Caenorhabditis elegans: one gene and its partner. The protein of the gene in region 2 purifies or fractionates together with the protein of the main gene of each other region. This does not show direct contact. Each region holds a gene or a part of one and is shown on either strand. Other genes may lie near its edges. The genes, in order: mlc-3 and myo-2.

Region 1 (14,593 bases), on a different chromosome or scaffold from region 2:
GAATAATTATAATTACGAAAAATACTATAAAACTAACCAAAAAAGTTTTTTCCTGGAAAATTTTTATTTCAAAAATGTGTGGAAAATCAAATGCCGTTTCAAAAAAAAATTGAAGAGCTACATTTTTTTAAGAAAAAAAATGTGATTTCAAAATTACAGCTCAAAAAATGTAAATTAATGAAAATGAACAAAAAAATTGAATATTAGGTGAACTCATTTGTGCTTAACTTATGAACGAACTAAACATTTTGGGCTCGAAAAAAAGTTTCCTATGATAAATATCAGTTACTTTACGAAAATTTGAATTTTTCATCTAATCTCACAGTCAATTGATAATTTCTTAATAATTTTTCAAAAAAGTTTGATATGAAAGATGTTTTAGAAAATTTAAAAGATTTGTTGAAACTCTTATTCTTTAAAAAAAAACGTAAAATTCAAACAAAGTATCATATTCAAAGGCGCCAAACAACTTTCGAAAAAATATGATAATAATATAGGTTATTTTGAAAAACTGCGGCGGGTGGCTGATGCTCAACGAGAGAGACAGAGAGATTTGTTACAACTGAAAATTGAGATGAAGCCTTGAGTTTTTGTTGAGGCAAAAAGAGAAAAAGAGCACGGGAGCAATAGACGGGAGCTCCCTTCCTTTGAAATTAGCAAAGAAGCTTAGAGGAAAAGCAAGAAAATGATGACTGGCAGGAGGGGGTGGAGCAGGAGGTAGTGAAGGAAATGAGGGGGGACTCTTTCATTCCTGTGGTGGTCCTTTTGCATACCACGTGCACTTTTGGGAAGAGAGTGATTATGAAAATGTTGTGCAAGTTTTGGAAAATGAATATGTATTTCGGAAATTTTTCGTTCAAAAGTTTCTTCGGAATTTTTTTCCAGATTTGTACGGATATTTAATGATTTTTCCATATCTTTGGATTAAAATTTAAAAAAAACCACACGAGTTTTGGATAGTTATAGATTGTTTTTTTTTGGAAGTTTCCAAAATAATTCCAGAAAATTTCAAAAAAATCGTTTTTCTCTAGTTTTCAACAGAAATTTGGTTAAACAAAAATTGTAAAAATATTTTTCGTTTGGGCAAAACATTTTTTAAAAATCTGAAAAGGTCAAGAAAATTCGAAAATGTTTCCTTTTTCCCAATTACTGAATTTATTTAAATTCGAAATTTTCGATGCCAATCTTTAAAATTAAAATCTAGCGAACGTTTATTGAAAAATTTTCAAACTTTCAAAGGAGCATTCTTTTTTTAATGGATTTTGAAAAAATATAGTATGAAACAAAAGTAAATCTGGTTAAATCTAGAAATAAATAAATAAAAACCTTAATTTTTAGAATTTTTTTCCTTTTAATTTGAAAATTGATGCTTTCATTTGGAAATATAAAAAATTCATAAATTAATTCATAAAACCTATTTAAAGCAAATAAAAAGAAACGATGAGGATTTCACAAAAATAGGAAAAACTCAGTTGAAAAGGGAAATACTAAAAAAAAACGAAATTATGAAGTCCGACAAACCCAGAACCCAAAAAATTTCCAGCAATCAAAAAATGTCCTACCGGCTCAAAATGGGCGGAGTCGTCACGTGGCATGTGCTCGTAAACACACCTGCCACACATGAAAGTTGACGAAAAGCTTTTAGACGGAATAAAAACGACACAAAAGTTCAAATGTTTTTACAACGAAGTATAAATGAGTTCCCGAAAGAGAAAAGAGCACACATTCCATTGTGCTCTCACCAAATTACTGTTATAAAAAACGAGAAAAGATGAGGATGAAGCCGGAACAAATTGACAAGCTTGTTGTGTTCCAAACAACTTAAGAGGGTCCTTTGGAATGTCTGAATAATGGGTGAAAAACGGAAGAAAAATGAGAGAAAAGGAGAATAATGTGAGAATATCAAAAAAATAATGAAGTGATTCATGGTAAATAAATGAAAGATTGAGCATTCTTTTTTGCTCATTTTTCACAGAAAATGCACGTATTCAGAGGTTCAAGTGAAGACAATGAAAAGAAAAATCACGGTAACCTACAGATGGGGTTCAGAACTAATAGAGAACATATGTTCTTTTTGAGAAAGCAGGCGTAGGTGGTTATGTAGACAACAAAATTGGTTTTTTGTACCTTTCTGGAACATATACAGTCTGTAAAAATTTTGGTCAACAATTACCAATTACCAAAAATTACCAAAAAAATTACAGCAAAACGGACTCAAACTTCTAACGAATGGGCACAATGAGAAACAAAGTTTACAAAATAAATTAGGTCAACTCAAAATTGAGCAAACTTTTGAAATATGTTGCCACAAGCATTGAGCAACTGGAATTTCCAGAAACCAAACAAGATGTTATTGAAAAATTCGAAAAATGAAATATAGACTTTCAATCGGACGAGTGGGATTACTTTTCTCTCTTGTATGTGAAAATGAAAAATTGGTTGGATTAAAATATGGTTACTACGTCCTAAGAAAAGGAAGACGAGCAGGGATTATAGAAGCCCACTGCCTACATGCCAAAAGAATGGGTGTTTATGTCCCATTTTTTTGTGTGACTATTACTTGGCTTGAAATCTCTGTTAGTGACATGTTTTTCCAGCAATGTCCCCTCGTCCTCTTCCCCGTGTCCCATGGGGACTCGCCGAGCACGGCGGTTCGTGAACAGTGAGGAGCAGCAGTGATTGATATCCTACATGATCTTGTCACCTGACAGAAACATTGCTCCTGACCTAGATTATTACAAATATCATGGGAAAAACGATGAAAATGGGGAAGATTGACACGAGAGTAGATGATAGTTAAAAAGGGCAAAGTTGCAAGTTCACTTTTCTGAAATTAGAATTTGTGAGGTTTGCGGAAAAAAAATGAAATTTCAAAACGTTCACAGGATCTTGTTAACTTTATCGATTTCTACGGTTGCGGAAATTTTAGGTTGCCAAAAAATATTGAAATCGCAAGTTGCTGGCGTATTGTCTAAACCTTGCAGCTCGGCAATGCTCGGAAATTTACCAAAGAAAATTGTTTCTTCAGTATAGTTGTTTTAAGTATTGCAGATTGTCGAAAAGTTTCCACACTTCCACTTTTGAAATTTTTGCGATCGGAAATTTTTGAACGTGTCTGGTGCCAAAAATATTTTATGCTTAAATCTTAATGTTGTGGACGGAACGTAAACCTGAACTTTATACAGACGTGACCTTTGGGTCATCATGAACTTATCGCGTAAGCGACCTCTCTTTATAATTCATTACTTCTTACACTCTCTTGTAATAAACTTCTTCTCTCCTTGTCACTCGCTCAATACACAACAGTCGCTCAATACACAACACTTAACTTTTAAGTGAAAGACAACAACCGAACGGTTTTAAAAATATAAATCTTTGATTTTATGTTCTCTGAAAATTTGCTAGCGTTCTTAAACATTTCAATAAATAAAGAAATTTTGTAAATTTTGCCGCTCTGTCAAAATATGAACCTACCCGTTCTGTGAAACCTTCCTGTCAAGTTTTTTGAGCTTTTTGTAACATTAAGCTCACGGAGCAAGTCAATGACCATGATCTGGTCACCTGACTCTAAAAGTTGCAAGCACACTTTGGCGGCAACCAATAATAATATGGGTTGACTTGGTAAGTCAAGACGTGAGATGGAAGGGTTCTGAATTGATATTGACAAATAAAAGTTCTGTGAATGAATCGAATAATTCTTTGGAAATTTTTTTTAGATCGGTTATTGTAATTTTTATGAATATCACTTTGGTACGGCAAAAATATTACCGGAGTATTATTTTTTTTTATTTCAACGTCTTCTAATTTCTAAAACAAGTGTTTTATAATAAAATAAGTGTTTTATATTTTTAATTGGAATCGCAGAAAATGGGAATTTATTTTAATCAAAAATAACTATAATTATTTCTGATTGAGAGGGTAAAATTACCCAACTGAACACAATCATTTCCATAAATAACATTAAATCTTTTGTTTTGGTCTCACAACTGTGGAAGTACTTAAATAGTTCCCACATTAAGCATTGAATGCTATAAATGCTCAAGGCAGCCAACATCCATTCATTTGTTTATAAAATCATGTTCCTTCTTAGAATCCACGGGAATCTCGTTTTTTCTTGTTTTTGGGCAATTGGAAAAGATGAAAATAAACGAAGGGGATTTGTGAAAGAAAGCGTTGCATTTTTTCTCAAAACTTTGATTATGCCAAAAAAAATAATTTTTGAGGAGATGCAATTTCTGAAATTTCTGTAACGTTTTAGAGCAAATTATTTTAATTGACGTACAGAGTCCTAACTTTTATCTTGAAAAATTGGGAGCAAAATTAAACAATTTTAAATTAAAATTTTATTAAAAAATTTTTAAAGGATTCTGAAGATTGGAACATTATTGGTCGCGATATTTGAAAAAAAAACACATTTTTGAAATATTTTCAGGTTCCAGACCAACATTCTAGTTTTTTAGTTTTTGGATTAATAACTTTGAAGAAAAATTCGAATGAAGTAGTTTTTTTTTAATTCAATACTCGTTCACTATGAATTTTCAAAAATTATTGTGTAAACTGTTTCTGGGAGATCGAACTTTTTTAAAAATTTTTTACTTTGGTTTTCAAAGATCTTCCAGTGGTACACCCAAAAATTGGCCCTTTTCTACTTTATGACACCATAAATCATCCAATAACTAGTTTATTACATTATTTGTATATATTAGTAACAAAACGTTTGCGTACTTTTTTTAGAAGTTTCTCCCGCCAAAGACTTCCCGCATGTGTCAACTACTTGAGTAAATATAGAAGCTCTTTGTGCAAGAAGATTTCCATAAAGAAATAATGAAAATAACTGGTTATGTACAAGTTTTTGTAAAGGTTTGGTAGAGTATAAAACGTAGAATATCGGAAAGTTCAATACTGACATTTCAAGTCACTTCAATTCAATATGTTCGCCAAGTGGTAAGTCATCTTTTTTAAGTTAGGCTTAGAAAGGCTAAGGCATAGGCTGAGTCTTAGACTTAGGTTAATGCTCAAGAAGCTTATTTTAGGTTTAGACGTAAGATTGATGTAAACCTTAAGCAGAATACCTAGAAATAGGCTTCAACTAAAATCAGGCCTAAAATTCAAATTCCAGCTTCGTCGCCGTCCTTCTCTGCGCCATGATCGTCGGATCCCATCAACAATACGTTGTCCCATCCTACTCGGCCGCCTATGTTCCATCTGCCTACGCCTACCCATCAGTTTATTCTCCATACGTAGCCGCTGCAGCCTATCCATCAGTCTGGGCTTGGGGATCAAACAAGAATAAGGATGATGCTGCTCCACGTGCATTTGCTCGTCCATCTGCTCTTCTTAACAATCAGAAGCCAACCACCGCTTGAATTGTCGGAAATCGAAATTACGAACGTTTTTATGTAAATCTTGCAAATCAATCGATCTGAAACTGCTTTTTTCAAAAAAATTAATAAAATTGTATCATTGCAAATTAATGGTGTTTGTTTCATTTTTGGAATACCTAACAAAAATTCAATAGCTCTCAGTTTTTGAACTAGAAATGCAATTTTTTGCAAAACTGTTTTCAGCTTCTAAAAGTATTATATTTTCTTTAATTTTCTTGATCAACTAGTTTGAAACTTTGATTTTGAAATTTTTTGTAGGGGGAAGAGTAAATGATGATTTTCAAGTTTGAGTAGGCTTTACTAGTTTTCTACACTAATGGCATTAACTTCTTAGCAACTATTCAGTAAACAAGCAGAACATTCAAAAATAAATAATTTTACTCTTTGATGATAATATTTTTGAAACTCTGGCAGCTTCTATACGAAAAAGTTGGCAAAATTTGATATTTAAGCTATTTTTAGCCCTTCTTCTTAAAATTTTTAACCGTCATAAAAAATTTTGGACAGAATTCCAAGAGTTTCATTTCATTACAAAAATCAATATTTTGGGTCTTTAGTATATTTAAGTGGACAGTTTCGCTACTCTAACTTCAATTTGAAAGCTTTTAAGGTGAAATTGTTTCTTTTCACCAATTTTTAGGATTGAGTGATATTTTTTGAAAAACTATATTTAGGTGGTGATACAATAAAAAATAGTTGTCAGCTAACAATATATACGAAAAATTGTTTAAATAATTTGGCAATTTCTTATTTTTTGGAAGCTACCGTTCTTGCACAGTAGACGGAAAATAAATCAATTGATAAAAATCAAACTGGCAGTTTGTTTTTATCAGGTCATCGACTCAAAAGCTGATATTTCTAGCAGCCTTTCAACTTACTACATGTACTATACCAAAATTTCCATTTCATAATTATTCAAAAGGTTTTTTATTATAATCCAAAAAGGAGAACGAATATAAGAAACGAATGAATTTCTGAATAAAAAAGTGTAAAATGAAGAAAGAAAGAAAATTTCTTGATCATAGAAACAGGCTTGAATGTGTTGGAGAAAAAGAAGAGAAAACCGCGCGCTGATTTTTAAAGTGCAAAACGTTTTCTGGATCAGAAAACGGAATGCGCGCACGCGAGTGGAATCTCTTACGTGTATAGCGTAGAAGAAAACGAGCGACTAGACGATGGGTTTATAGACAAAAAAGTAAAACATCGTTATTTGGAACGGGGAGAAAGAAGGCAGAGAAGGGAAAGGGGAGCAAAAAATTTGGGTAAGAGAAGATGGTGTTTTTTTTTTCAAAATTTAAACATTATAATGGGTGTAGCACAGATTCAGATCCAAAAATTTAGTCCTGGTCTGGGAATGGTCCGGCCAAAACCTTCTTGATGAAATCTGAAATAAATTTCAATTAAAAAAAATTTCCGAGAAGAAAAAAAATCGGCTTACCCTCGTACTTGACCATGCCTTCTCCGTCTTCGACTCCCTTGAGGAGCTCATCGGCCTCATCGGCGGAAAGTCTCTCACCGAGAGCCAAGAGGATGTGTCTGAGCTCAGCGGCCAAGATCTTTCCAGTCTCCTCCTTGTCGAACACCTTGAGTCCCTCGTAGAAGTCAGCGTAGGTTCCTTGCTCCTGAAGAAATTGGAAATTTATATTGGAAAGAACAATTTTCTCAGTTTATAATCTCAATGTTAAATGAATGATGATCTGCTCTACATGCGGACCCTAAGGTAGGCATCTAACTCCAGTAAACATAAATCATTCCCTATTCAGGTGACAGTAACCTCGAACATCAGCTAATTCCATCCCGAAGCTCCAGAGAACTCTCTGATTTTCGCTTAGGATTCTATCCAAAATTCGTTAGACACTGACTTTCAGATTGTCAAATTTGAGTAGATATGTGCTCAGGTAAACTTCGCAGACTATTTAATAACGAAAGCGAAATGTGTTTCCCAAAATATCTGGCCAAACTTGCTATTTCAAACTTTATGAGTTGTCCAGTCTTCTGAGCTCAGTTCGTAGGTTTCTATTGGCTCTTCAAGATCTCCATGTGCTGTTTTGAATCTTTTCTAAGAAACTGGTTGCCTTAAAGCTTTCAAAATACTGACGGTTGTGGGTCCAGAGAATGCCCTAGTTGAATTCAATCAAAGATCTACAGGATTTTTTACCTTAAACCTCCACTAAATAGTCTGAGCTGGCAGCTCTTTCCAAAACTCAATAGCTCCTAGAAGCTTCATATATACTCACTCCATTCTTTTACCCGTATATGGGGATCCTTACTCAAGATCCCTTGCCTATTCCTTACTACTTCCTATCCATACAAATATCTACAACAAGGACCCAGTAGACGCAGAATGATGATGCTCTCTATTGTTACACTGTGCCTATGTGTGTGTTTGTGTGTGCCAAGAGAGATTCTCGAGAGTCCTATGTGCTCCTCTCCCACACATGCTTCACGGGAGCCGCCGCCGCCTATCTCTCTAAAGTTCTAGGGATCGGCTGGCATGTGCCGGTGGAAGAGGATGTTCAGATTTTTCAGACCCTTAGTTGTGATTTAAAAGTTTTCGGCTAGGGGTACTGTATGGGGTTAACCTCTGAGATCCAATATTTACTTAGACCTTGAAATAAAACAAATCTCAAGCTTCATCTTCTTTGTTTGATTATCACTCGGTGCGGGAGTTAAAGGTTTGGCGCGAGGCCCCTAGATCCCTAAATCTCAAAAAACTCTCAGCTAAAGGTTAAAGGCACAGGCAAGATGTTTAAAATACCGTACCTTCTCCTTGGCGAGTTGCTCGTACATCGGGAGCCACTCCTCGAATGTAAGTCTCTTCTCTCCCTTACGCTTGAACTCCTGTCCGGCGGCCTTTGTCACCATAGCCTGAGTTGGCTTAAGTCCGGCGGCGCGGGCGACATCTCCGACTTGGGTTCCGTCGATCTTGCCGTCAAGCTCCTCATCGTAGAGGTTGAAGATCTCCTTGAGCACGTCTAGAACGATTTCAAGTTTGAAAAAATGTTTGGGATTGTAGGGATATATTTGGGGAATTGGATATATTTTTGAAACATTAAAAAAAAACTAAAAATAAAATGTTTTAGAAGTCCTAAAACCTTATAAGGTATCCCTAAGAGCTGGGGACATTGCTTAAAAAATTACTCACCTTGGGATGGTGGAGCCATTATGTGATGATGTGTGAGTGTTGCAGCGGCGGCAGAGCAGGGGGGACTGAGTGTGGAAACTGAGTGAAGGCGACAGAGCAGTGGCAACCCAAGTGTAAACTGTGTGTGACTCTTCGTAGAGGATGGGGGCGGATTGGGGCGGATATTGAGCTCCCGCACTCCCGCGCGAGTACACTATTTCACCCCTCGGGAGCCCGAGAGATAGAGAGAGGGATGTAATGCTCAAGAGATAGAGTGGCGAGATGTGGGATGTGAGAGCGAGAAAGCGCGGCGTACTGTTTCAACAAGTATTTTCTAGAAAATTTTCATGATAAGTTTAAGAATGAATGTATGACAAAAAAAACAACAAAAAATGTTCAAATTTCGGGGAACAAGTAAAAAATAGATTAAAAAATGATTTGGGAAGGGGAAAGAAGAAGCATAACAACAACAACAACAATTACAAAACAAGGTTATTCGGTGTATCTGGCCAAGTCCAGCCTCGGGACAATGTTCATGGATTGAAGTTCCTGGAAGAGCAGCTTACACGCATACGGAATCTTAATGTTCGCCATTGACTTGCTCGAACGACACTTTTGGCACCAACCCTTCGAGCCGATTACTCCGCATCCAGTGCACACGTCGACCTGGAAAACAAGAAATTTATTAAGTTACATTGGAAATCTATTATACTCTCATCGAATCGTTTTTTTATACAAACTGAGTTTTAAGGAGTACCAAATTATCCTATAAAATATTTAAGCATGCGTCTTTTAACTTTTTTATGTTAAAAATCCATACTTGTGTTTTTTAATATCGACACATTATTATAAGGCTCAACAAGTATCCATTACTTTTGCATTAAAACGCTTGCCTGCCTGACCTTAAGGCAACCTCCGCCTGCCTCTCGCCTCAGTCCGCGAATTCTGCTAAACCATTTTGTTTCTCTGTTTACGGAATAGGTCTACAGTACCCCAATGCTCGAAATGTTAATTTATTTTATTTCCTCCCTCTTCAATAATTAATAAGATCTTTGTGTTTTAACACATCTTCACAAGTTCATTTTTCCCGTGTTGGCTGCCGAACTCGATTAATTCGTTGTAAACGTATGTTTCTCTATTCTCCCTTTCAATATCTTTATTTTCTTTCTCTATCCTCCCCGCGTGCCACTTCAATCGCACATTTTCTCGGCATTCCACTCCTAGGAGCACAGCCGACGGGAAGAAAAAGCACAGGCACCCACTGTGGAGATATCTCTTCCTTCTTATTCCTCCTTCTTCTGTTCTCTCTTCTGCCAATGCTTTTACTCAATGACGAGAGATGCGGAGATCAGTGGAGTCCACAGACTTCGGGGTGGAAGATATAGTGAAATGGCAATCAAGGAGAGATCAGCGAGACATCTCTCCACGAAGATCACACTATTCACCAGGCATCTCGCATCGGGGCAAAAATCTCATCTTTTCTTCTTCTTCTTCGATGACTATTTTGTGGGCAAAAAAAAACGAAAAGTAGGAAGGAAGAAGCGAATCAAGACGAGAGCTCCGAAGGTTTCCTGGAGGGATCTTAATGTGAGGTTCACTTCCAAGTCTTTAGATCTCTGATTCTTGTTTGCCACCTGGGACAGGTGCAGAAAATATTATTTTCGGTACGACTGTACTAAGAAAAGGCGGTTTTAGTAAAAAATGTTCTCAAAAACTCCGAAATATCGCTGAATTGTGAGAGATTTTTTTTATTTGGGAATGGATCTTGCTCGAATAGCACCGAAAATTTGATTTTTTTTAACTTCCGAGCAACAGAGATTCAGAGCCATTAAAATAGAAAGTTTTGCTTTTTTTAAAAAGTTTTTAGGGAAAATGCTTTTTTTAAAATCGATTTCTCTGTTCTTATAAAAAAGTGGGAGTTCAAAAAAAAATTAATAATCGGTTTCCGACCTTTTTTTTCGATATTTTCAGATAAAAGTCGGGAAATGTATTCTCTCATGATCAAACAAAATCCATAATTTTCTCTGCGGTAAATCAAAAATTTTCAAGAACCTTTCCAAAAAACGTCAACCCAGTTTCCAAGAAAAGTCGACCCGCAAAGTCAACCCACGCAAGGCTTCTCCCAGTCTCTCCCGCAACAGTTTCGCTCCTCATTTTCGCAAAAAAGAACCACTTGAGAGTGTTACGGCTAGTGTAATGATGAGCAAAAATTGCGCGCACACACACAAAAGTAGCAAACTTTTAAAAAAAACTCGGTAAGGGAATTTACCTTAAACTCATCTGATGACACCATCAAACGCTCAATAAGCAGCATCGATGCTCCATAGGCAATGAGACAATCACGTTCCATTTCTCCAAGACGTAGACCTCCTTCTCGTGATCTTCCTTCTGTTGGCTGGCGAGTCAATGCGGCTCTGAAAATTTATAGATTTTTAAAAGAAACTCTGAGAATAAATTGAAAAAAATTTTTAAAAAAAGTTTTTTTTTTAATTTAAAAAATGTGAGAAAAATTAAAATGGTTTTTTTTGTTCCAAAATATGCATAACATTTCCGCGAATTGGATTTGAAAAAAATGTATTTCCACTATGAAAAATTGATTCTTTTTTCCCCTAATTTCCTAAGCTTCGAGCATTTTGTCAATTCCTTTTTCAGAACTTTTTCAATTTGGCTTTTTTCGAAATTTTAACCATGATAAAAATAAGTGAATTTTGATTGATACCAAATTTTCTAATTAAAAAAATGTTGCAATTCCTCATTGTTTTACATCAAAAGTTTTAAAGGAAAGTTGGAAAATGCAGAGTTAACTGTTCTAAAAATTTTTCTTTTTCAGATTTTGTTGCTAAACTTAATTTTTAAATATTTAATTGAAAATTCTTTCCAAAATTCAGAATTTCCAGACAAGACATTATCTAAATTCAAAATCTCTCCACACCTCGGTCCTCTGGCACGGGCGTGCATCTTATCCAAAACCATATGCTTGAGCTTCTGATAATAGATTGGTCCAAAGTAGATATAAGCAGATAATGGTTGTCCAGTAATTCCACTTGTCAGCATATCTTTTCCCATATAATTATAACCACAAGCAGCCAATTCTTCACAGACATCTTTAACCTGATCTCCACCAAATGCTGTTCCATAATGATATGTTCCATTCACTACTCCAGCTTTTCCAGATAACAATTCCATTAATTTTCCGACAGTCATTCGAGATGGATATCCATGAGGATTCATAATCATATCTGGCACCATTCCAAGATCATTAAATGGCATATCTTCCTGTTGAGCAATCAATCCGCATACTCCTTTTTGTCCGTGTCGAGATGAGAATTTATCTCCAAGTTCTGGCCGACGGGTTTGTCGAAGAAGAACTTTGAATAAATGAGCTTCATCTTCATTATAGGTAAGAAGAACTCGTTCCGCATATGATGGAGTTGGAGTTTTATACGTGATCGAGACGTCTTTGTAGTCAACTTGGCGTCCAGCGATTCCGACTGAAAATTTAAAGAATTGTTAGTGAACGTTTTTTTTTTTACTTTTTCAGAGTTTTATATTTAAATTTTCGTTTTAAATTAAATTAATTGAATATTTGAACGGAATAAATGTCAAGTTTTATTTAATTGTGAACGTAAAAAAGTTAGAAAATTTATATTCGCAAAAAAGAACGGAGACAGTTTCTTTGAGTTTTTTTTTAAAACATTTGTTTAATTGGTAAAAATTAAAAAATGCTATAAATACTTCAGATTTTTTGGAAAAAGTTTTAAAACAGGGTTTCTGTTGAAAACTCGCTTTCATTTTTACGAGGTTGGTCTGGGAATTGTTTATTATTCTTTTTTTTTTATATTTTTCGTGTTTTTTTTCGTAAAACTTTTAAAAAAATAGATGTCTTCTCGAAACTGTACATTCCGTTTTTATTTTCCTTATACAAATTCGTCATGCTCATTTCAACATACTTGTATTGGCAGAAGCCGACGCTCCAGGACCACTTTCTCCACTGACAACTGGCATGTGCTTATTGATAATCGTCTGTTTCGGCATAATACGTGCTCCGGCGAATACAATACCCTCTTGATCGAGATTTTTGTGCTTGAAAATTGGTTTTCTCGTGTTCGGATCCAATGCTGGTCCTAGAAGACGATCGAATGTCTGATTCGGATATTTTTTGGCGGTTCCCTTCACATGTTTGTAGACCAGACAACGACCATAACCACGATCCAGTGAAGCTTTATTGAGCACAAGAGCATCTTCGATATCGTAACCACTGTATGACATCACTGCGATGATTCCATTCGCGCCGGCCGGCAGTTTTTCAAAGTTTGTCAGTTCGATTGTCTGGAAAATTGTGATGTAAAAAGTTTGAACAATTGATAATTTTCTAAAAGAAAAACAAATTAAAAATTTCTGAATAGAATAATTGATTAGAAAGATATAGCGGATACTTCCGATTTGATTTTTTTATTTTTCGGAATTCAGGAAATTGATTTATTTTTATTTTCAGGATTATTAACGATATCTCTCCACAAACATTAGTTCAATAAATGAAACATGCATTTTTTAATCAAATTTTTTTCATAAATTTTAAAATATTTCAATTTTAACGAACCTTTGACTTAACGAGTGGTCTCTGTGGATAACATAAAAGATACATAATTGAATCAATTCTTTTCTGTTGATTATAGGCAATTGTTCCCATTGCTTGTTTACCCATAGCACATTGATAAGTATTACGTGGAGATTGATTATGATGTGGATATGGAATAAGACCAGCACACACTCCAAGAAGAGTAAATGGCTCAATCTGGAAATTTTGAAAGATTATTAATAGCTCAGACACTGAAAAGTGCAAATTTTATTTTAAACTAAGGATAAAAATCTTTAAATGTTGGAATTTCCTTGAATTATAGAATTTTAGAGCTCTAAATAATTTGATTTTCAATTTTTTATATTTAAAAAAATGAGAATTTAAACTTTTTTCACATAGTTTTAAGTTTCAGACAAATTTTACCAAATTTTTTGAATTTTCTTTACAGGAAAGAACAACCAGTTTTCGATTTAATTTTTTTCATTTTTAGATTCACAAAGTTCAAAAACGTACCTCCAAATGTGTAGTTTCTGGGCCAATTTCTCTCCCATAAACGGCAATCAACGCATCGTTCATCTCATTTACATCCAAATATTCGACAATTCCGTCATCAACAAAATCCTCAAAAATCATTTTTCCCTCTTTCAGTTCCTGCACGTGAGCCTGTGTGAGCATTGGAGTTCCGTTTTTGACAATAATATATGGTCGACACAGGCGGCCACCGTCTGATGAAATGAAAACAGAACGATTGGTTAGAGAACGGGATACTGAAACAAATTCTGACAGGAGTCCACTTCTGAAATTGAAATTCGATGAATTTTTTGGCAACATTTTTTTGTTGAAACCTTCTCAAATCTCTGACGGCTTTCACCACTCTTTCTGGATCCACAGCTGTTCCAATGAGCACTCCGTTTAAGAAGATCAACGTGTTTTCACTGAAAATTTTCGATAAAAATAACCTTTTTTTTAGGAAAAAACACAAAAAAATGGATCTAGTAATTTTCAAAAATTGTCAAACCTTAACTCGATTTGAAATCTAATTTTTATGAAATTGATAATTTATTTTAGAAATTTATAAAAATTGATTAAAATATGCGATTTTTTCAAAACTAGCATTCTCAAAACTTTTATTTTTCAAGATTTCACACTTAAAATTTTAATTTGTAAAAACTCACGGCTTATTGACATGCGAGAAATGCACATTATGTAAATCCTCGACTCCCGAATTGAGTAACAATCTGAGAACGGGTTTCTCATCGGAATCAGTTGTAATGTGACTAATCAAAGCGAGATTCTTCACAAGACCACAAGCTTCACCTTCAGGAGTATCACTCGGACAAAGCATTCCCCATTGAGATGGTTGAAGGGATCGAGGACCAGAGACTTTTCGAGTTTTCTCAAAAGTCGAGTTGATTCTTGTCATCATACCAAGTGCTGAGATATATGACAATCTACTTAGTACTTGTGTAACACCAAGTCGTTCCATTCGGAATCTTTTGATAATCC
Region 2 (18,219 bases):
GCATTGCCTTGCTATCAATATGTTCATTAGATATTTTTATGCACTAGCATTAATTTTCAATAACCTTTTAACTTACTACGTCAAATGTCCTTACAAAACGGGACAGGTGAAATCTAGAATAAGTAGATGTATTTGAACAAGGCTTTGAAACGTAACAGGCTGATCAAGTCTTTGCTCCAAAATTGCAATCTGATATTTGACAATCACAAAACATTTGTGGTTCTTACACTCCCTTGGTAGTTTAATCACTCTTGGATATGAGTTCTAGCAACTCAAGTGCTCAGCAAGATGCTGAGCATGAATTAGATTTCACAGTTTCATGTATTGGTGTTGTACCATTTGTTTTAGTCGTCTGGTTGTACTACATGACAAAAAGGACTGACGACAAAGTGAGTTTAGCATTATTCTGCGTTAGTACATTTTTAATAAGGTGCACTTTTAGAGATCATATTATGCGATTCATTTCAATCTGGTGACATTAAGCTCTGTTCACATTGTTGGATCGTTTATAGTTTTGATGATACTTTTGATAATAAGAGTAACCGACGGGTTCACTGGAAAATCTGAATGGATTCGTTTTTTATACAAGCGTAAGCTAAAGTTATAAATTTAAATGTACAGAAATTGTTTACAGTGTTCACAAATTTACTAATTCATGGATCTCTAATTGTTGCAACAATATTTTACTACCTTATCTTCATTTCCTCCATGCAAAGATTCATGCTTCTTACTATTGAAAAACTCGGAAGAAAGCTGATGACGGGGTAATTACTGATGAAACATGTCAAAAAAATTTAACATATCTAAACTTTGCAGAGCCAGATTGACATTCAACATGACAATGTTGTACTTTGTTGCAATCATTTCTGCAATTAACAAAATATTTGCTTCAAACAAGATTCCATGGGTGAGAATTTTTCGATATACTCTGAATACTATGATAGTTTTTAGCTTGAGATGATCACGATGGTTTTGTCTCTTATTATGCTTTTGCTGAGCATCATAATAATACGCCACATCGATAAAAGATCCAGATCGGGGATGTCTGCGCACGTTACTGTATTGCTGCAAACAGTGCCAATTGCTATTTTACTAATGGTCAGTTTTTTAGTCTTACCGAGCAATTTATGTTTTGACGTGCATAATTATGATACCTAGAAGAGGAATGTTTTTTATCATGCTGAAAATTATCTTTCTAATGGCCAAAAAATGTTGCGGAATTGTTCGTCCAGAAACCTGCTTTGTTTTTTCTTAGGGCTTTGCCTTAGCTAAATTCATAATTTCTGCAATGTTGAAAAATTAATTAAAGTCAATAAATGGAAGGTGTTCTTTGTACATACGAGATGCTCATTTCATATTTTATTTAAAAATGCGCTCTATCAAATTTCAAATTTGTTTCATTAACAATGACATCAAACGTTTAGAAATCTGAAAGTTTTATTGTGTTTTTACAATTTTTTTTAAATAATTTACAGTTTTTTGTTAGGTTCTCTTCAATATACCTTTGACTTTAGAAAAACAGTCCGCATTTTTTATAGGTTTACACTCGACTTGAATTATAGTTTTACCTGCTTTATTAGAGAAAACTTATGCCAATTTCAATTTTTTTACTAGCTCTAAAAACTGTTTTCTATTTCCAGATAGTTATCAAAATGTTGCTCAGTTTGTGATTGTGTCGTAGTCTGCAGCTGAAACTGAGTTCATTTCTAAATCAGACACGCACTGTGATAGATTAGAAACTAAACCAGGCAACACAAACAAATGCTAAATTTGCAGGTCTTCACAGTTGCAAAGTTTTATGTGTTGACAAGTGGACAAACGAACATCAATCTCATCACATTCCAGTCGTTCATGACGTTTTCTATATCATTCATGACACCTATATTTTTGATCATTGGTAGTCTCAACAAACGAAAAGTGGCTGTTGCTATCTTAACATGTCAACGCGGCACACGAATTATTGGAGGAGAAGTTTATACAGCGGAAAGGTCTCCTGCAACAATGTCTCATGTTGTCAGTATGGTGCCAACAAGGATTTGATATTTTTTTTATGAACGCATTAAAATCACAAAGTGTAAATATGTTTGAATTTTTCTTGTAAAATATGTGGTTCAACCATTATTAGATATTTTTAATAAAGTTTATTTTTTGATATTCTTGTGACACGAAACGTTAGTTTCAAAGCTGAAAATAATATTAAACTAGCTGACAGGATCTCCCTGGTTAACTGTTCGAGGACAACTGGGAAACTTTTACAAACTTACAACATGGTTCAGACAAGTTTAAAAATTTAAGTTTGAGAATCAACGGGACTTTTTCTTTTTTCGTTTTTTTTAATTGTGTATGCTTTGAAGATTTTCAAATTTATTCTAGTTTCAATAAAAACAGTAATATAATTGAGTGGGAGTTTTTTTGCTGTGATGTTTTTGGTGTTATTTACAGTGATCTTCTTCTAAATAGAAAATCAATGGTTTATTGATCAAAAATATTGAGAAGTGTCGAATCAATTGAAGCATTGAAGGACAAATTTCCACTATCCTACAAATCCGATGCGTAAAAATTATTAAACAAAGTGAAAAAAATGCATTTGAAGAAAAAAAACAACAGAGAAGGTGTTGATGGGCTTTTATTGTGACACGTTGAATGTGTATGTGTTACTGTGCAGTGGTAGGTTTGGGGGACGTAGGGGAAGAGAAACGGGTAAAGAGATTGAAAGAAAAGAGAGAAACGAGATGGAATTAGAGCAGTTGATCTACTTTTGCTCGGCGTTGGCGCGTGTTCGGCTTCGGATTCTGACAAGACATTGCTCAGCGGAATCGGCTCTCTCTTCAGCGGTTTCAAGGGAAAGTTGGACGGTTCTGTACTTGCTAAGATGGCTGTTAGCTTGCTCCTCCTGAAATAATATTTACAATTGAAATTTTATCGACTATGAAACATACAGCTTCCTCGAGTTGCTTCTTCTGGAGCTTGAGCTTGGCTGTGAGTTTCTCAACTAATTCTTGGAGCTTATCGTAGTTCTTCTTGTCCTCAGCAACCTGGAACTCGAACTCGCGGACCTTGCGGTCAGCACGAGCAAGGGTCTTGGATGCTTCTCCGGCGCGACGGCTCTCGGTTTCCAAGTCACTCTGGAAGGCTTTCAGACGTTGCTCAGCCTTCTGGATTGCCTTGGCTCCTCCCTTCATGACAGCTGCCTCAGCGGCGTCGGCACGCTCTTGGAGATCCTGTAAGATGGATTGGATGAAAGATATAACTGATCGTTTTTTTTCTATTTACACAATCTTTAAATCTGTGACGCGCAAAAGGATAAGTAGTTGCGACGGTGGGAAAAGATGCACACTCTAAAACAAACAAATATCGCTTTTACACTGAACGGCCAAAAAACTGCGAATTCTTAAAGCGAACATACCTTGACAGCGCTTTCAAGTTGTTTCTTGAATCTCTCAAGTTGTTGAGATTGCTCTTGCTCGTGGCGGAGGTCCTCAGCAAGTTTGGCGGCGTCGCTGGCAGCACGACGTCCACGGTCTTCGGATGCGGAAAGTTCAGTGTGGGCCTCAGCGATGTCGCTGTTGAGAAGGGCAATTTCGTTGTCGAGTTGGCTCTTGGCAGCAGCGAGGGCAACATTTTGGGAGTTGAGTTCGTTGTTATGCTCTTGATGTTCCTTCACCGAGCTTTCGACAACACGACGGGCACGCTCAAGCTGAAAAAAATCACATACAAGGGGATTTTCCGAAACAAAATTCTTACAGCCTCAAGCTTAACAATAAGCTCTTCTTGCTCCTGTTTGGCAACAGCGAGTTTTCTCTCGGCAGCCAAAAGGTGCTCACGGAATTCTTCGCGTCTCTTTTGTTCCTCATCCACGGTTTGTTGAAGCTCGCGGATTTGGTCCAAGTAGCGTCTGAATGAAAAAGTTGGTGTACACAAAAAAAAAACTTATAAATTACCTGATATTCTTCTGGGCATCTTCGTTCGCTTTGTTCGCATGGTCGAGGGCGATCTCCAGCTCGTTGATATCGGCTTCCAACTTCTTCTTGACACGGAAAAGCTCTGACTTGGCCTTGGTCTCGGAGTCCAAAGTAGCTTGGATGCTGTCGATGGTTTGTTGGTGAACCTTGCGGTGGTTCTCGAATTCCTCCTCCTTCTCGGCGATTCTCTTCTCAATTTCAGCACGGATTTGGGAAACCTCGATCTGGCAACGGAGAGCCTTGCTTTCCTCAGATTCGAGGGCAGCTTCAGCCTCGTCCAATCCACGTTGAAGTTCTTCCTTCTCCATTTCCAAACGACGAAGGTTCTTGGAGAGAGCGTGGGTAGCACGTCCTCCCTCGGAAAGTGATTCGGTGAGGTCACGGGTCTCGTCGCTGAGAGATTTGTTCTCGCGACGAAGTCCTTCAACTTGATCAGCCAAGGTATCGTGCTGTCCACGGAGTTTGTGAGCTTCTCCGGAAAGTTGACGAGCATCGCGTTGAGCTCCGTCCAACTCGAGGTAGAGGTCATCGACCTTCTTCTTCCATTCATCAATAACCTTATCAAATGCCTTTTGCTTCTTCTCCAATGAAGAGACAGCTTGGGCATGGTGCTCAGCCTCCAGACGGTTGGCATCAGCTTCAGCTGTCAAGCGGCTGCGAGCATTCTCGAGTGCGACAATCTTGGCGTTGCAGGCATCAAGAGCATCTTGGATCTCCGAAGTCTTCTGGTTTTGGCGTTTCTTGACCTCATCGAACTCGTCGGCTCCAATGAGTCCCTCGGTCTCGAACTTAGTTCTCCATTGATCGAGTTCAACGGAAGCCTTGGAAAGTTGACGAGAAGCCTCGTTCTTTCCAGCGACTTCGTCTTCGATGGATTCCTTGAGCTGTTCAAGCTCACGAGCCAAGTTCTTCGACAAATTGGAAAGATTTTGTCTCTCGCGGGATTCCTCCTCGGCCTGTCTCTTGGCATGATCCAATTCGTTGGAGAATTGGAGTTTGAGGCGGTTGGCAGCTTGGATCTTGGCCTCCAATTCTTCGACTTGGCGGGCCAAATCGGAGTTCTCGGAGTTGAGGCGTCCCTTTGAGGAGACGAAATCTTGAAGCTGGCGGGATTGTTCGTCAGCCTTGAGACGAAGCTCAAGAAGTCTGACCTCGTATCCCTTGGCAATTCTCTCCTGGTCAGCGCGGAGCTTGGCTTCTTGGTCAAGAGCAGCAGAGGACTCATCGAACTCGCGTTGCATATGTCCTTTCTCCTTCTCAATTCTTCCCTTTTGCTTTTGAAGTTGCTCGATTTGATCGGAAAGCTCTTGAATAGCATCTGATCCCTTCTTCTTGAGAACAGTGAGTTGCTCTCCGAATTTAAGTCCAGACTCTTCAAGATCACGACGGAGCTTGGTAAGCTCAGCATCCTTCTTTTTTCCGAGCTCAATTTGGGCAGCGGTGGCACGGGCTTGGTCTTCGAGTTGCTCGGTGAGCTCATCGTACTCAGCCTGTTGGTCGGCTCTCGAGCGATCAGCACGTTGGCGAGCATCCTTCTCATCGGCAAGTTGATCATGAAGATCCTTGACTCTAGCCTCGTCTTGCTGAATTCCCTTTTGGAGTTTAGCAACAGCAGCTTGCTCGTCTTCGAGTTTCATTCCCAAGGTGTGCAATTCGGTTTCCTTGCGTCTCAAAGCATTTTCGGCATCGCTCTTTGACTTGTTGAGCTCTTCCAAGGTTTCTTGAGCAATCTTGAGCTCTCCTTCGGCCTTTCTCTTATTCTTGTCCATATCAGCACGGTTTCTCTTCTCGCGCTCCATGGTCTGCTCGGAGTCTTCAAGAGATTGCATGAGTTTAGCCTTGAGCTTGTTGGCTGCCAAGTTTTGTTCCTCAGCAGCTTGGAGATCCTCGGTGAGTTTCTTGTTCTGCTCTTCTTGGTTCTTGCGCTCCTTGTTAAGCTTAGAGATGTTCTCGTCCTGTTGTCTCATTTCATCTTGAAGAGCACGAATCTGGTGCTCCTTGGCATTCTTCTCGGCCTCAACCTTTCTCAATGAGAGGTCAACATCTTGGCAGTTCTTCTTCAAGTCAGCGCATTCGGCCTCGACAAGCTTCTTTTGCTTGTTGATTTCAACGGCACGAGCTTCTTCAACTTCGAGCTTCTTGCTGGCATCGGCAAGCTTTCCTTCGAGGGCAACCTTCTGCTCATTCATGGCGGTCATTCTTTCCTCAACTTCGCGGGTGCTTCCCTTGCTAGCCTCCAATTGCGCCAAGAGGTCAGCCGTCTCTTTGTTGAGACGTTCCGCACCCTCTTGGAGTTGGCGCTTCTTCTCCTCCTCTTGCACCACAGTGTCCTTAAGAGTAGCTACAGTCTCTTGAAGCTTCTCATATTGAGCTTCGATCTTTCCAGAGTTAACGAGTGGCTTGACTTTGCCGTAAAGCTTGAACCACACCCAGGTGCGGAGCTCAGCCCAGCTGCGAATGTTTCTTTGAATGATCTTAAGAGCTGTGATCTTTTCAACACGGCGCTTGCGCTCAATCTGTAATAAAAAATCATTATTTGAACATTTTTGTATTATTAAATAGACATACTGTTTGGTAGTACCAACGGATTTGAGCTTGAAGTCCGGTGATGAGTTGAGCAAGGCTCTGGTCACGCAAGTCTTCCAAGTGGGCGACAATTCCGGCCTTGAAGAAGACCTTGGTGAGACCAACTCTAAAGTTCTCTTCTTCGAGCTTCTTCTCTTTGACCAAACGAGCAAGCATAAGAGCGGATCCCTTTTTGGCATCAGTCTTTCCAATGATAGACTCATCGGCAGCAAGAAGAGCGTAACGCTGAACAAAGTCTGGATGGAGGGTTCTGTTGGGGAATCCCTTTCTGCAAATTCTGATTCCTTCCAACACTCCGTTACAGGTGAGCTGATTAAGCACAAGTCCGGCATCAATAACTCCTGAAGCCTTCTTCTCGTTTGGAATAATACAACGGATGAAATGTGGGTGAGTAGAGTGAAGCATAGTCATCAACTTGTTGAGAGATTCTCTGTAGAGCATAGAAACAGTCATGAACGATCCAGACTTTCCCTTCTTCTTTGCACCAGCAGTTCCCTTGGCGGCAGCGGCAGCGGCCTCTTCCTGGGTGGTGTAATCTTGCCAGACCTCAACAATAAGAGCGTGCTCCTTGGAAGCCTTCATAACGGTGACAACGGTGTCGTTAAGAGGATCCTTGTTCTTCTCAAGCCAGTTCAAGCAGTTGTAACGGACAGTTCCAGCGTAGTGCCGCATGGCAAAGTGAGCCTCGGCTTGTTTTCCCTTTGGTGGTTTTGGCTTCTCGAAGTTTGGATGCTTGCCCAAATGTTGATCAATAAGCTTTTGGGCTAAGGTCAAATCAGTAGCCTTTGGAACGATGCATTCTTCATCAAGCATAGCAATGATACCAAGTGGCTTCTCAATGAGTTCAATACAGGCTTGCAAATCGAGACCGAAATCGATGAAGGTCCACTGGATACCTTCACGAGCGTACTCTTCTTGTTCAAGAACGAACATGTGATGGTTGAAGAATTGTTGAAGCTTCTCATTTACGAAGTTAATCCAAAGCTGTTCGAAAGAGTTGAAGTCGAAGATTTCGAATCCGGCAATATCAAGCACACCGATGAAGTGATCACGAGAGATTCCCTTCTGATCAAGAGTTTGGTTACATTTCTTGACGAGCCAGTTGAAGATTCTGGAGTAGAGTCCCTTAGCCATAGCTCCGACGGCCCAGTTGACCTGCTCGATGTTCTGTCCCTTGTTCACCCATTCGTTTCCGACCTTGACACGTGGACGAGTCAAAGCCTTCAAGAACTCCTCCGAGTCAATTCCGAAGCACTTAGCGGCTCTTTCAGCATCTGCAAAGAATTTGTGATAATAACGTATGCTATGTTATGTTATCCTATGTAGTGTTGGAATTTTGAAACATTTTTTTAAAATCATTGTCATAGGCAAAAAGTGAAGAGTCGATGGGGATGAGTAGGTAAACTTTAAACCCCGCCGCTAAATCCACTCTATATGCCTGTCCCGCTCATCCCACGCTCTCATGAGATCTTAAGTAAATAGAAGGAAAGTTTCCAAGAATCCAAAAATCTACTGCTTCCCGTTTCTAACTTACCATCTGTGCCATCTGGCTCGGCCTGCTCTTCACGTGGACGTTGCTTGAACTTCATGTTACCCATGTGCATCATGGCGGCAACCAATCGGTAGCACTCCATCTTTTCAGTTGGGGTAAACTTGAGGATATCAAAGGCCTCATCGGTCAACTGATGCTCTTCCTACAAGAAAACAATATCTGCATTTCGTCATGTTTTGATCAGTATTACCTTGTCATTGATACCATCAATGATCAACTCAGCTTGAGCGATGAACCAGTAGTCCTTGACTGGCTTGTTAAGAAGGAGGTCCTTTTTAAGGTTTGGCAAGTAATCGGAGAAGACTTGGTAGAAAATGTGGTAACAACGCTCTCCTGGAGCTTGACGGATCACACGTGACTTTTCAAGAAGATCTGGAAAATTTTTAAATATATACAGGTCAAACATTCGAAATGATTTCAAACTTACAATGTTCAATATCGCAAGAAGCGACACGTCCTTGCTTGGAGAAGTGAATACGGATGAACTTTCCGAAACGGGAGGAGTTATTGTTACGGACAGTCTTGGCATTACCGAAAGCCTCGAGAACTGGATTGGTTTGGACAATCTGGTCCTCAAGTGTGACTTTCTTCTTGTTCTTGTCTTCTTCGGTGGCGGCCTTCTTGGCTCCGAAGGTCTCTTGTTGAGCAGCACCGACAGCGGCAAAGTAAGAGATAACCTTTTTTGTGTTCTCAGTCTTTCCTGCACCAGATTCTCCGGTAATGAGCATAGACTGGTTTTCGTGGTTTTGAAGCATGTTTCTGTAGGCTTCGTCAGAGACGGCGAACAAGTGAGGTGGCATTTCGGTACGGCGCTTGCCCATGAACATGCGGGCAACGGAATCGGTATAAATTGGGAGACGTTTGTATGGGTTGATGACAACACAGAAAAGACCCGAATAAGTCTAAAAGAAAATATGTTAAATCATAAAACTATAACAACAAAGTTCTTACATAGATGAGCATAGCAGCATAACGAGCTTTCAAGTTGTACAATACGGAAGCATCGTTAAGGAAAGTCAGGTTAGACATGTCTTCGGTTTTCTCGAATTTTGGTGGATTCATCTCTTGGACAACATCCTTTTTGACAGTCTTCTACAGAAAAAAGCAACATAATAATTGACAAATAAGTGGTTTTAAAATTCACTTACCTCGGCTCCCTGTCCAATGGACACAGTTACATTATCTCCAGCGGTTTTAGTGATGACACCCTCAATGTATCCGTCTTCCGAATCTGGGATCCAGACGTTCTTCTTGGAGTCATATGCGCGGGATTGATCCTTTAAAAATGGAAGTAAAAAAGTGAAAATTTATAAAGATGATTTTTTTTTTTAAACTAAGCAAGCTTATAACATTCTTTAGACAAAAAAACCATGCTTTATAAAAGTACCTGGAGCATCTCCTCGCGACTGCGGCGAAGGTACTTCCATCCTGGGTCGTTTTCGTAATCCATTTCTGTGTCTGACGATCGAGGGTTAAAATGAAAAGTGGTGGAGAGAAGTCAACCGCTCGGTGGGATGCGCGAGCCTGGAGATAACTTTGATTTTCGGCGAGCCCTTCTTTTTCCCTGGGTGGGTGGATTGGGAGGCGGGGATATCCAATTGTAATTCTAGGTAGCTGAAAAGTGTCTGCACACTGTTCTCTAACCATCGACGCAGGAAAAGTCTCTTTCTCAAGTGCAAATAGCAAAAATCTTCTTTCTTCCCCCCCATCTTCCGAGCAAGGCGCCCCCACGGATAGTTGCTCGCTGGCGGTAGGGAGCGAAGAGAGCAGAGAACCTCAACGGGATAGTGGGGATACGAGAAAAGAAACGGCATTTTAGGTTAACTAAAGATAGTGAAGAAGCCGGCTCAATGCAGAGAGGCAGACATCCGACGGCAAACAACGAGAGAATTTTATCCAGAACAATGAGTACAGTGTGTGCGCGCAAAGTGCTCTTCCTGCCATTTTGCTACTCTTATCCACACAACCACTTTAGCGATTACCAACCTATCTTGAGACTTATCTTTATTTTCTCTTCTTTTGCCGACGAAACGGGAGAGAGGGGCAAAAAATGAAGAATCGGGGGCACTGATTAACACACTTACTTTTTTTTAGGCTGAAGCACACATTGCTGTTCGGGGTGTAAAGTTCAGCAGAATTCAAAGCAAAAGACCACCCGCATCGGTAGTCAATATTGATCTGGAAGATTATTAAAAATTGTCAGAGTGAGCCATATGCATATGAATTTAATTCATACATAACATTTATAAGACAGGAATAAATACCAAAGTGAAGTTATTATTTGGTCGATTATCACTTTAGCATAGTGAAAGTATCCCTCAATGTCTCTACTTGTAAACTCAGTTGATTTACAAACGTTGTTTTATTGATTATAAAATTAGTTTTATGGACATTTAAAGCAAAGGATACTACTCAGATATAAAATGTACGACGTTTTCAATACTTTTACATTTCATTTTTGTTCTTGTAGCTTATGGGGATGTCACAATAAAACGTCCACAGCACAAAACCCACAATGTACAAGGTATAATTATGCTTATCAAAACTCGAATTGCAACCTGGTCAGGAGTAATTATTATTACAGACAGTTACTGTCCACCACCCCCAATTCAAATGCCTCGAGACATGTTCTAGTTTATGATTGATAACACACAACTTCCTTCTCTAAACCTCCGCACGCTATTCAATAATGATAACAGTGCCCATATACAAGTTGCTCCATTTTCTCGTACACTATACACAACACAATTATTCTGCGTCTTCAATTCTATCAAAACAAAATCGATTGGCCTAATCGGTTTCCTTTTCTCCATAATCCATAATGATTTCTGAACGAGCACCACTACTTGAAAATGGGTTAGTTTTGTGATGTAGTTGATGTTCGTTTATATCAGAGTTGTGATTTCCTGTGCTTCTATGACGTATTACCAAAGAAAAAACATGAGATCTTTTTGTATTACAGAGTTCCTCACATTTATAATACAGACGAAGGTAGAAAAACCACAGTCACCTATGATAACTTTCATTGCCACGATGAAGCTGACTCAACAGATTCACATGATAGCAATCGGAGAGGTATTGCTTTTAAAATTTCTGCCAAACTCGAGTCCTAATGAAACCTTCTTCAAACTATTTGTTTCAGCAACGCGAATTTTATGGCTCACCGTCGTGCTCTGCCTATTTTTTATGGTTTGCGAAGTTATTGGTGGTGTTCTCGCGGGCTCACTCGCAATTGTCACAGATGCCGCACACTTGCTCACTGATTTTGCGTCAGTGCTCATTTCGCTGTTTTCTCTGTACATTGCAAGACGGCCACCATCGCAAAAAATGAGCTTTGGGTTTCATAGAGCCGGTGGGTAGTTGGAAGAATTGAGCGACATAGTTTGAAATGAATTTCAGAAGTTTTGGGAGCATTTTTCTCAGTTTTCCTTATTTGGATAGTCACTGGAGTATTAGTTGTTCTCGCAATTATGAGAATTGTCAGCGGAGATTATGAAGTAGAAGGAGGAATTATGGCTTTGACAGCCGCTCTTGGAGTGGTTGTAAACTTGGTGTAAGTGTTTTTATGAAACGAGTCTGATAGCTTTATTAACTGGTATACACTTTTTTACTTCGATTTGAAATCGATATTTGGCATGAACTTTTATCCGGGTGGGAGCCCCAGGAATGTTGACATGTCAGAAAAATGTCTGTCCATGTTATTTTCTTTTAACTAAAAATTAGGCTGTCACGGACTTACGGTTTTCAAAGAAATTTTTTTGAGTTCGAAACAAATCTAATGTGACATATGTATCTTAATTGATATTCAAAATCAAAATTTAAGCATGCTTGCATTGTTGTACTTTGGTGGTCATTCACATTCTCACGGAGGCGGAAGCTCTCATGGTCACTCTCATGGTGGTGGCAACGGCGATAACATCAACGTCCGAGCAGCTTTTATTCACGTTCTGGGAGACCTTTTACAAAGTTTGGGCGTTCTTGTTGCTGCCCTTTTTATCTATTTCCAGGTGAGTGTTTTTTTCTCGGCAAACAATGACGTCTTATCAAATGTTCTGTAATTTTTCAAACACAATGGATCACTGTTTCAGCCGTCTTGGGTTATTATTGATCCAATTTGTACACTTGTTTTCTCGGTTATTGTGCTATGCACCACTATCTACATATTGAGAGATGCTATGATTGTTTTATTGGAAGGTCAGTGATACGTTTCAGTGGCAACAACATTTCTAGCTTTTTAGCGGAGTATCAAAATAATGTTTTTTTATTGAAAAAAAAAATAATTTTAAAAATTTTATTGCCTTGAGATTTCAGCAGTTTTGACAAAAACCTGTTTTTCATTCAAATTAAGCAGATTACTCTTTCCTTGCAAAATTTTCAAAATTTTCGAAAGGCGGGAACAAAAAAAACAAAATTGTTTTATTTTCAAAAATTCAGTTTATAATATTATCTAACTTTTTTGAATTCCCAAAATTCTCGCTGATTTCCATAACTTTTAAAATTTTCAGGTAGACCTAGCAACATTGACTTTGCGAAAGTATTTTCGTCCCTTGAAGATATAGAAGGTGTTAAAAAGGTTCATGACTTGAGAATTTGGAGTTTGACGATGGACAAGGTAGACATGACACTCAAAGCGGATTAACCCAAATTGTTTTCCAGATTGCACTCTCCGTACACTTGGAAATTGACGCCAATAGTCAATCTCAGTCAATTCTACGCGAAACTCGAAAAATGTTGAAACAAACGTATAATGTACATGAGATTACAATTCAAATTGAGGAGTTTGGAGCAAATAGGTCGGATTGCGGAAAGTGCGATTTCCCAACAAAATAAGGAGGGTTATGTGATTACATTTTATTATTGAATGAGATTTTTGAATTTTATTTATGTATTTGTTGTCAATTTTTGTTTGAAAAAAAAATGTTTCGACTCCCTGATAAAACCAATAACAGCACAAAAGATATTCTTGTTCATTCATTCCTGTTTCATTCATTCCAGAATTGCTTAAATTTTATTTTCAGATCATAACCTTTTAGATTTTTGAAAACTAATGATCCAACGTTTTTAAATTATTTCAAATTTTCAAAATTCAAAACATTTTGTAGCTATATATTAGACGTAAAACAAAAACTGCACATGTTCTTTTAACAAAACAAATTCCCTTAGAACAACACTATTTATTAACGTTCCCAACTAAAAACTAAAAAAAAACAAAATCAAATATTCAAGGAATTTTCTCGGAAGGTTTGTTTTCCTCATAATAATCGCAGCATCCATCTGAATCCAGATCTCTTTCATATTTCTCGCAAAGTTTCTGGAACATGTCATTGAAGTCTTTTTCAACACGTTCCAAATGTTTATTAGTTTGTTTCCGACTGAACCGATGAGAAAATTCTCCCTCTGCAACCAACGTGACCTGAAAATATGAGTTGAAATTTTCGATGATACAAAGTGATTCAACAAACCGATTCACCGACGTAAAAGTCGTTCATATGACGTAATGCGAAGCAGAATAAAAGACACAGAATTACAACGAGCCAAACGTCGGAGTTGTCACGAGATGCTTCGTTTTCTCTGGAACAGATTCAAAAATTTATTTATTCGAAAACAATTATGAACATATTGGTTCAAAAGAACATTGACGAAAAGTTAAATGTATAAATGTATTACATTTTATGTAATGAATTACCTAGGGGAGTGCTGCTCATCTTGAGCGTTAGCCAGTGTAATTGAAAGGATTATTATAATAAGCAGGCAGGTGAGACAATTGCACAATTTTCTCATTTCAAATCAACTACCGAGGATATGTGGACAATGCTGAGCTTTCGCCATTTTGACATTTCCGCAAATAGTCTCTGACTGTTTATTTGTTGAAGAAAATAACTGATAGGCAACTGAAGTTAAGCTGTTAATTTTTATAGGCTATAATAAATAGAACTTCGAAAGATGGAATACAAACTTTCAAAAATATGCGGTAAAGCACTTTTTTTAATTGATAAAGTAATTGGTAAACTTAAAAAAACTTACTTCAGGGTTGTCAATATTGGCTGAAGAATATTAACTTTCAATCAGAAAGATGTAAACAGAAGTTGACAAATATTTTGAAATGCAAAATTTATTTATAACAATTTTTACAGTACTCAAAACGAAATTGCAATAAAAAAATAATTTTAAACTAGCTTATTTGATTCCACACCTTAGATGCCCTTCTTGTCAGTGTGCTAAATTTTTTTTGATTACTGCCAGAAGTCTCCCAACAGTTTCGAAGTATTTTTAAAATTTGACATTTTTGTAGATTTAAATCAAAAAATAAATATGATTTTCCAAGTTGTCGTCACTATCTTGTTGGCATTTAGTGAAATAAAACTACCGACAAAAAATATGTTCACGTAAAAATATATAAAAAATCAGAATAACTGATATGTTCAAAAACGTTGGTATTAAAGTTTATTGTGCAAAGTTGTAGTCTATGAAATGTTTGGTGATGTCAAGTTTCGGGAAAAAAACCACCTCCGATTGTTAAGTCTAATAATTTCTAATCAATCAATGTGTAAAATTTAGAAATAATTTATTTCAGAAACTTCATGATTGGCAGATGACGTTGTTACCTTCACTGAGCCCCTTATTCCTACGGTAGGTGCTCGCCACGCCTCTTCACACATCTTCTGCGATTGTTTTCGAGTTATCACCAATTTGACTCCTACACTATTTTCCGCTGTATTGAATAACAAAATATCAGTTTCCATCCCAATCAATACTAAAACTGTGTATCCAGTTTGGTCAGCTTCCGGTCAGTTTTGAACATTCTGTCTTTATTGTCCGCTACCGTCCCCGCTCGTACAACATTTTGTGTTTGTCCACAAATTATTGTGATTGCTCTTGTTGTTGTGCGCCCGTGTAAATGCCAATTTTTGTCTGTGTGACTATAAGAATTGAAGTATACGTACTGCAAAATGGCATCCTGGATTGTAACCAAATAGGGAGGAAGATACAAGAAAATGTATCGAAATATTACATTTTTCTTCCGAGATCATATAAATCGACACATTCATGGTTCGAACAAGTTTATATTCGTTCATCTCTTTCTAGGTTGATGTTAGATTTTCTGCTAGAAATTCTTAAACTACCAAGTGTTAGAAGACTTGTGTGGTTAATACAAACTTTATAGACTCATCCCAACCTTAATTCCAAAAAGCCTAATCGTAAAGTAATGGCTCAGAATTTTTTGATTTTGTAAACTCAAATTCTGAGTCGTCCCTTCTTCTATCCAACTTTTGATCATGAAAAATTATTATGATCTGTTATGATTATACCTGTACCGCGCACAAAATCAGCTTACTAACAGTGTTAAAATGCTCCACAAAACATTTTTAGCATTAAACAGAAAACCTGATTTAGTTATTAAGTATACATTTCATCACCGTTAACAGTAATATTTAAGACGATTTATTATTAAAACAGCAAAGGAAATGAAGGTTACCTTATAAAACTAAACATTCTCATTTTTGTTTTAAAATCAAAGCGTTTTTTTCATAACCTTCTTTGAATTCTTTGTGTTTTTTCAATTCTCAAAAAATCTTTATCATTTTTCTGAAAACTAAACCAAACGAATTAAAAAATTTTACTCACATGTTAAAACCATTTGTATCTTCGACTACAAATTTTGGCCATTTTGTTTGTCACAAAAATCCGTTTCTGATTGAGCTACGGTAGATACAATTTGCATAATCTAACAGATTCTCGGCGTTTTGAGATATCGGGAACCAGTTAGATCTTTAAAACGATATCTATTTTGGAATGCACTTTTGAGATTTGGATACAAAAGTTCATTCTGATCAAATTGACACTGGAGGTCTTGTTAAATTATTTCAATAACACTGACATCTTCTGGTTTTACTCTTTCTTTTGAAAACGGCATAACAACATTTTTTTACAATATATTACAGCTATTTCCTTTCAAAAATGATAGTACCGGACACTGAGGGATTGTTAATTTATTCGTATGGACTGATGTACGGTTCATATTGTATGGCATGTCAAATGTTGATTCCACACTTTCAATGCATACCCGGCATTTTTCCAAACTTTAGAATTTCAACTGAACTCATCAAGACTATGACGGATAAATTGGAGCAACCGAACAACAACGTTCCTCAACAGCCATGGGGCCCTTTTCCTCCTGCATTCGGTGGCCGGCCAAGTGGTGAACAGACTGATGGAAATCCAGGAGAGTTTGATAATGATGCTGCACATCAACAAACGGCTCCGTTCATGACTCATTTCTTTCCAAGAATCGGTGAGATGTTTGTCAGAACAAAACTAGGGCTGTGATTCGTTTTTTATTGATTTCCATTTAAGTCAAAAAATTTCAAGAATTCGTAATTGTATGGCTGAAATTTTTTGTAAGTGGGATCGATCAGTACATTATCACTCAGTTTACATATAATTTGAAAAAAAAAACGAAAAGTAATTGCTAAAAGTACTCACCAATTTGCCGAAAAATCTCTACCAACTTTAGCAATGCCCATTCCAAAATTGAGCAACTTTAGCAATGCCCACTGCAAACTTTAGAAAAGTTGAGTAAAGTTGGTTAAAGTAGGAGATGATTTAAAAGATACTACAATTGGGAGAAAAGCTGCGAGATAGTATGGTTCGTTATAAAGCTGCTAGTGTTTCTTGAGAAAATGCGGCAAATGGTCGGTCATTTGAAATACTTCAAACTAGAGCTGCAATCTCTGTCATATTTTAAGTTTGGGAAAATTAATAAATACTTACCCAGCTCAGGATAAAAGTTTCTGGATATATATCTTTTCTTTATTTTCTGATCTTCATTTTTTGAATTTCAGGACTTCAATTCCCAGACTTTACCGAGTACCAGCGTTTTAATGGCTTCCAACGAAACGCATTCTTCCCTAATCCATTCGGATCTCAGTTCACAGGCCAAGCATTTGCACAGTCGTTCCCATTGCACAATTCAATGACTACCATGGATGGTTTCAATTTGACACATGCTCCTCACCCGTTTTCAACAAATACAAACTCTACAAAACCTAAGGACATTGAAAACACGGTTCAAAGTACAATCAAACACAGTTCGGAAAACATCCAGGATAAGCCACCAGTGTTGTCTGTGGAATACCCTGTTAAATACGATTCTGAACTGAAATTTGACGCAAATGTAGATTTCACAGCAGTTCCTAAACAGGAGTCTTCAGACGATTCAACTCTAAAAAATCTCAAAAAATCAGACCAACAGCTACAACAACCGCAACAATTTACATTTCCACCTCCATTATTAGCGGAGAAATCATTTGAGCAGCCCAGGTAGATCGACTTTTAAAGACAGTTGTAAAATATCAACTGATAAGTTTAGAATGCGAGAAGACGTTTTACCTTTTCATCCACAATTCTATCCGGCACCACTTGACATGGGCACAAACTTCAAGCAAGAAATGAGAACTGTAATCTCTTCACAATTAACAAAATCTAAACACCAAAAATTTCAGCCACCAATCGACGGGCACATTGATTACAGAAAATTTGATGCTAGCGGAAAGAGAATGGAGTTTCAGCCACCGGGTGCTTTGCATGACTGTCAAGTGTGTTTGTCAACTCATGCTAACGGGCTTCACTTTGGAGCCCGTACATGCGCCGCATGTGCTGCGTTTTTCAGGTAAGAAAGCTCATAATGCAAGTGTATTTAGATGGCCTTTTGCTGTTTGAGACTTGAGAACTCTAGAAAACGTCTCAAAAAAAAACATTTTACGGTTTTTTAAAATATTAGATAAGCTTAGCTGAAATCTTTGATTTAAAAACTTTGCGTGTCGCAGCGATTGAAGGTTAATTTTAATTGTTTTGTAGTTAAATGAACAGAATTGAAACAAAAATCAATTTGTCAAGCGCGTCAAAAATTTTTGTAATATTCGCAGCTTTAAGGATTACTTTTTTCTGACTTTAAACCATCTTATAACTTTTTTCAAAGTATCATATTAAAACAATTATCGCTACTACATTTTTGATGATGATTTGTTTTGATGTTTTGAATGCTTGTAAATGTTAAAACACACTGTTTAATTTTATTTCGTTGTCAATGCTTCAGTTCAAACCAGTATGACTCAATAA

Evidence for each region.
Region 1: the proteins of myo-2 (region 2) and mlc-3 purify together in Caenorhabditis elegans (affinity purification with mass spectrometry, with the first as the bait; one large-scale study listed by BioGRID). This does not show direct contact.

The regions. Positions count from the first base shown.
Region 1 is NC_003281.10:5,559,087-5,573,679, reverse strand, and holds mlc-3 (Myosin, essential light chain), read right to left. Parts: upstream 8,656-14,593; 5' UTR 8,549-8,655; coding exon 8,530-8,548; intron 8,360-8,529; coding exon 8,148-8,359; coding exon of another isoform or gene 8,106-8,147; exon of another isoform or gene 7,864-8,105; intron 7,007-7,863; coding exon 6,823-7,006; intron 6,769-6,822; coding exon 6,722-6,768; 3' UTR 6,673-6,721; downstream 1-6,672. Other genes in the region: nspb-12 (Nematode Specific Peptide family, group B), read left to right, coding at 4,931-4,944, 5,120-5,366; rpc-2 (DNA-directed RNA polymerase subunit beta), read right to left, coding at 9,001-9,174, 10,778-10,922, 11,441-11,999, 12,459-12,837, 13,109-13,303, 13,601-13,883, 13,933-14,022, 14,263-14,593.
Region 2 is NC_003284.9:12,459,480-12,477,698, reverse strand, and holds myo-2 (Myosin-2), read right to left. Parts: upstream 9,639-18,219; 5' UTR 9,551-9,638; coding exon 9,488-9,550; intron 9,378-9,487; coding exon 9,249-9,377; intron 9,193-9,248; coding exon 9,052-9,192; intron 9,003-9,051; coding exon 8,528-9,002; intron 8,473-8,527; coding exon 8,291-8,472; intron 8,243-8,290; coding exon 8,083-8,242; intron 7,823-8,082; coding exon 6,531-7,822; intron 6,479-6,530; coding exon 3,942-6,478; intron 3,896-3,941; coding exon 3,745-3,895; intron 3,698-3,744; coding exon 3,407-3,697; intron 3,222-3,406; coding exon 2,940-3,221; intron 2,894-2,939; coding exon 2,753-2,893; 3' UTR 2,351-2,752; downstream 1-2,350. Other genes in the region: F45E6.1 (Serpentine Receptor, class Z), read left to right, coding at 258-389, 443-590, 635-764, 817-907, 952-1,098, 1,777-2,040; cdf-2 (Cation efflux protein cytoplasmic domain-containing protein), read left to right, coding at 10,922-10,956, 11,063-11,175, 11,243-11,452, 11,500-11,653, 11,924-12,107, 12,189-12,294, 12,606-12,712, 12,757-12,930; T18D3.5 (uncharacterized protein), read right to left, coding at 13,322-13,513, 13,563-13,671, 13,787-13,881; Nuclear hormone receptor family member odr-7, read left to right, coding at 16,060-16,393, 16,944-17,421, 17,471-17,558, 17,604-17,770.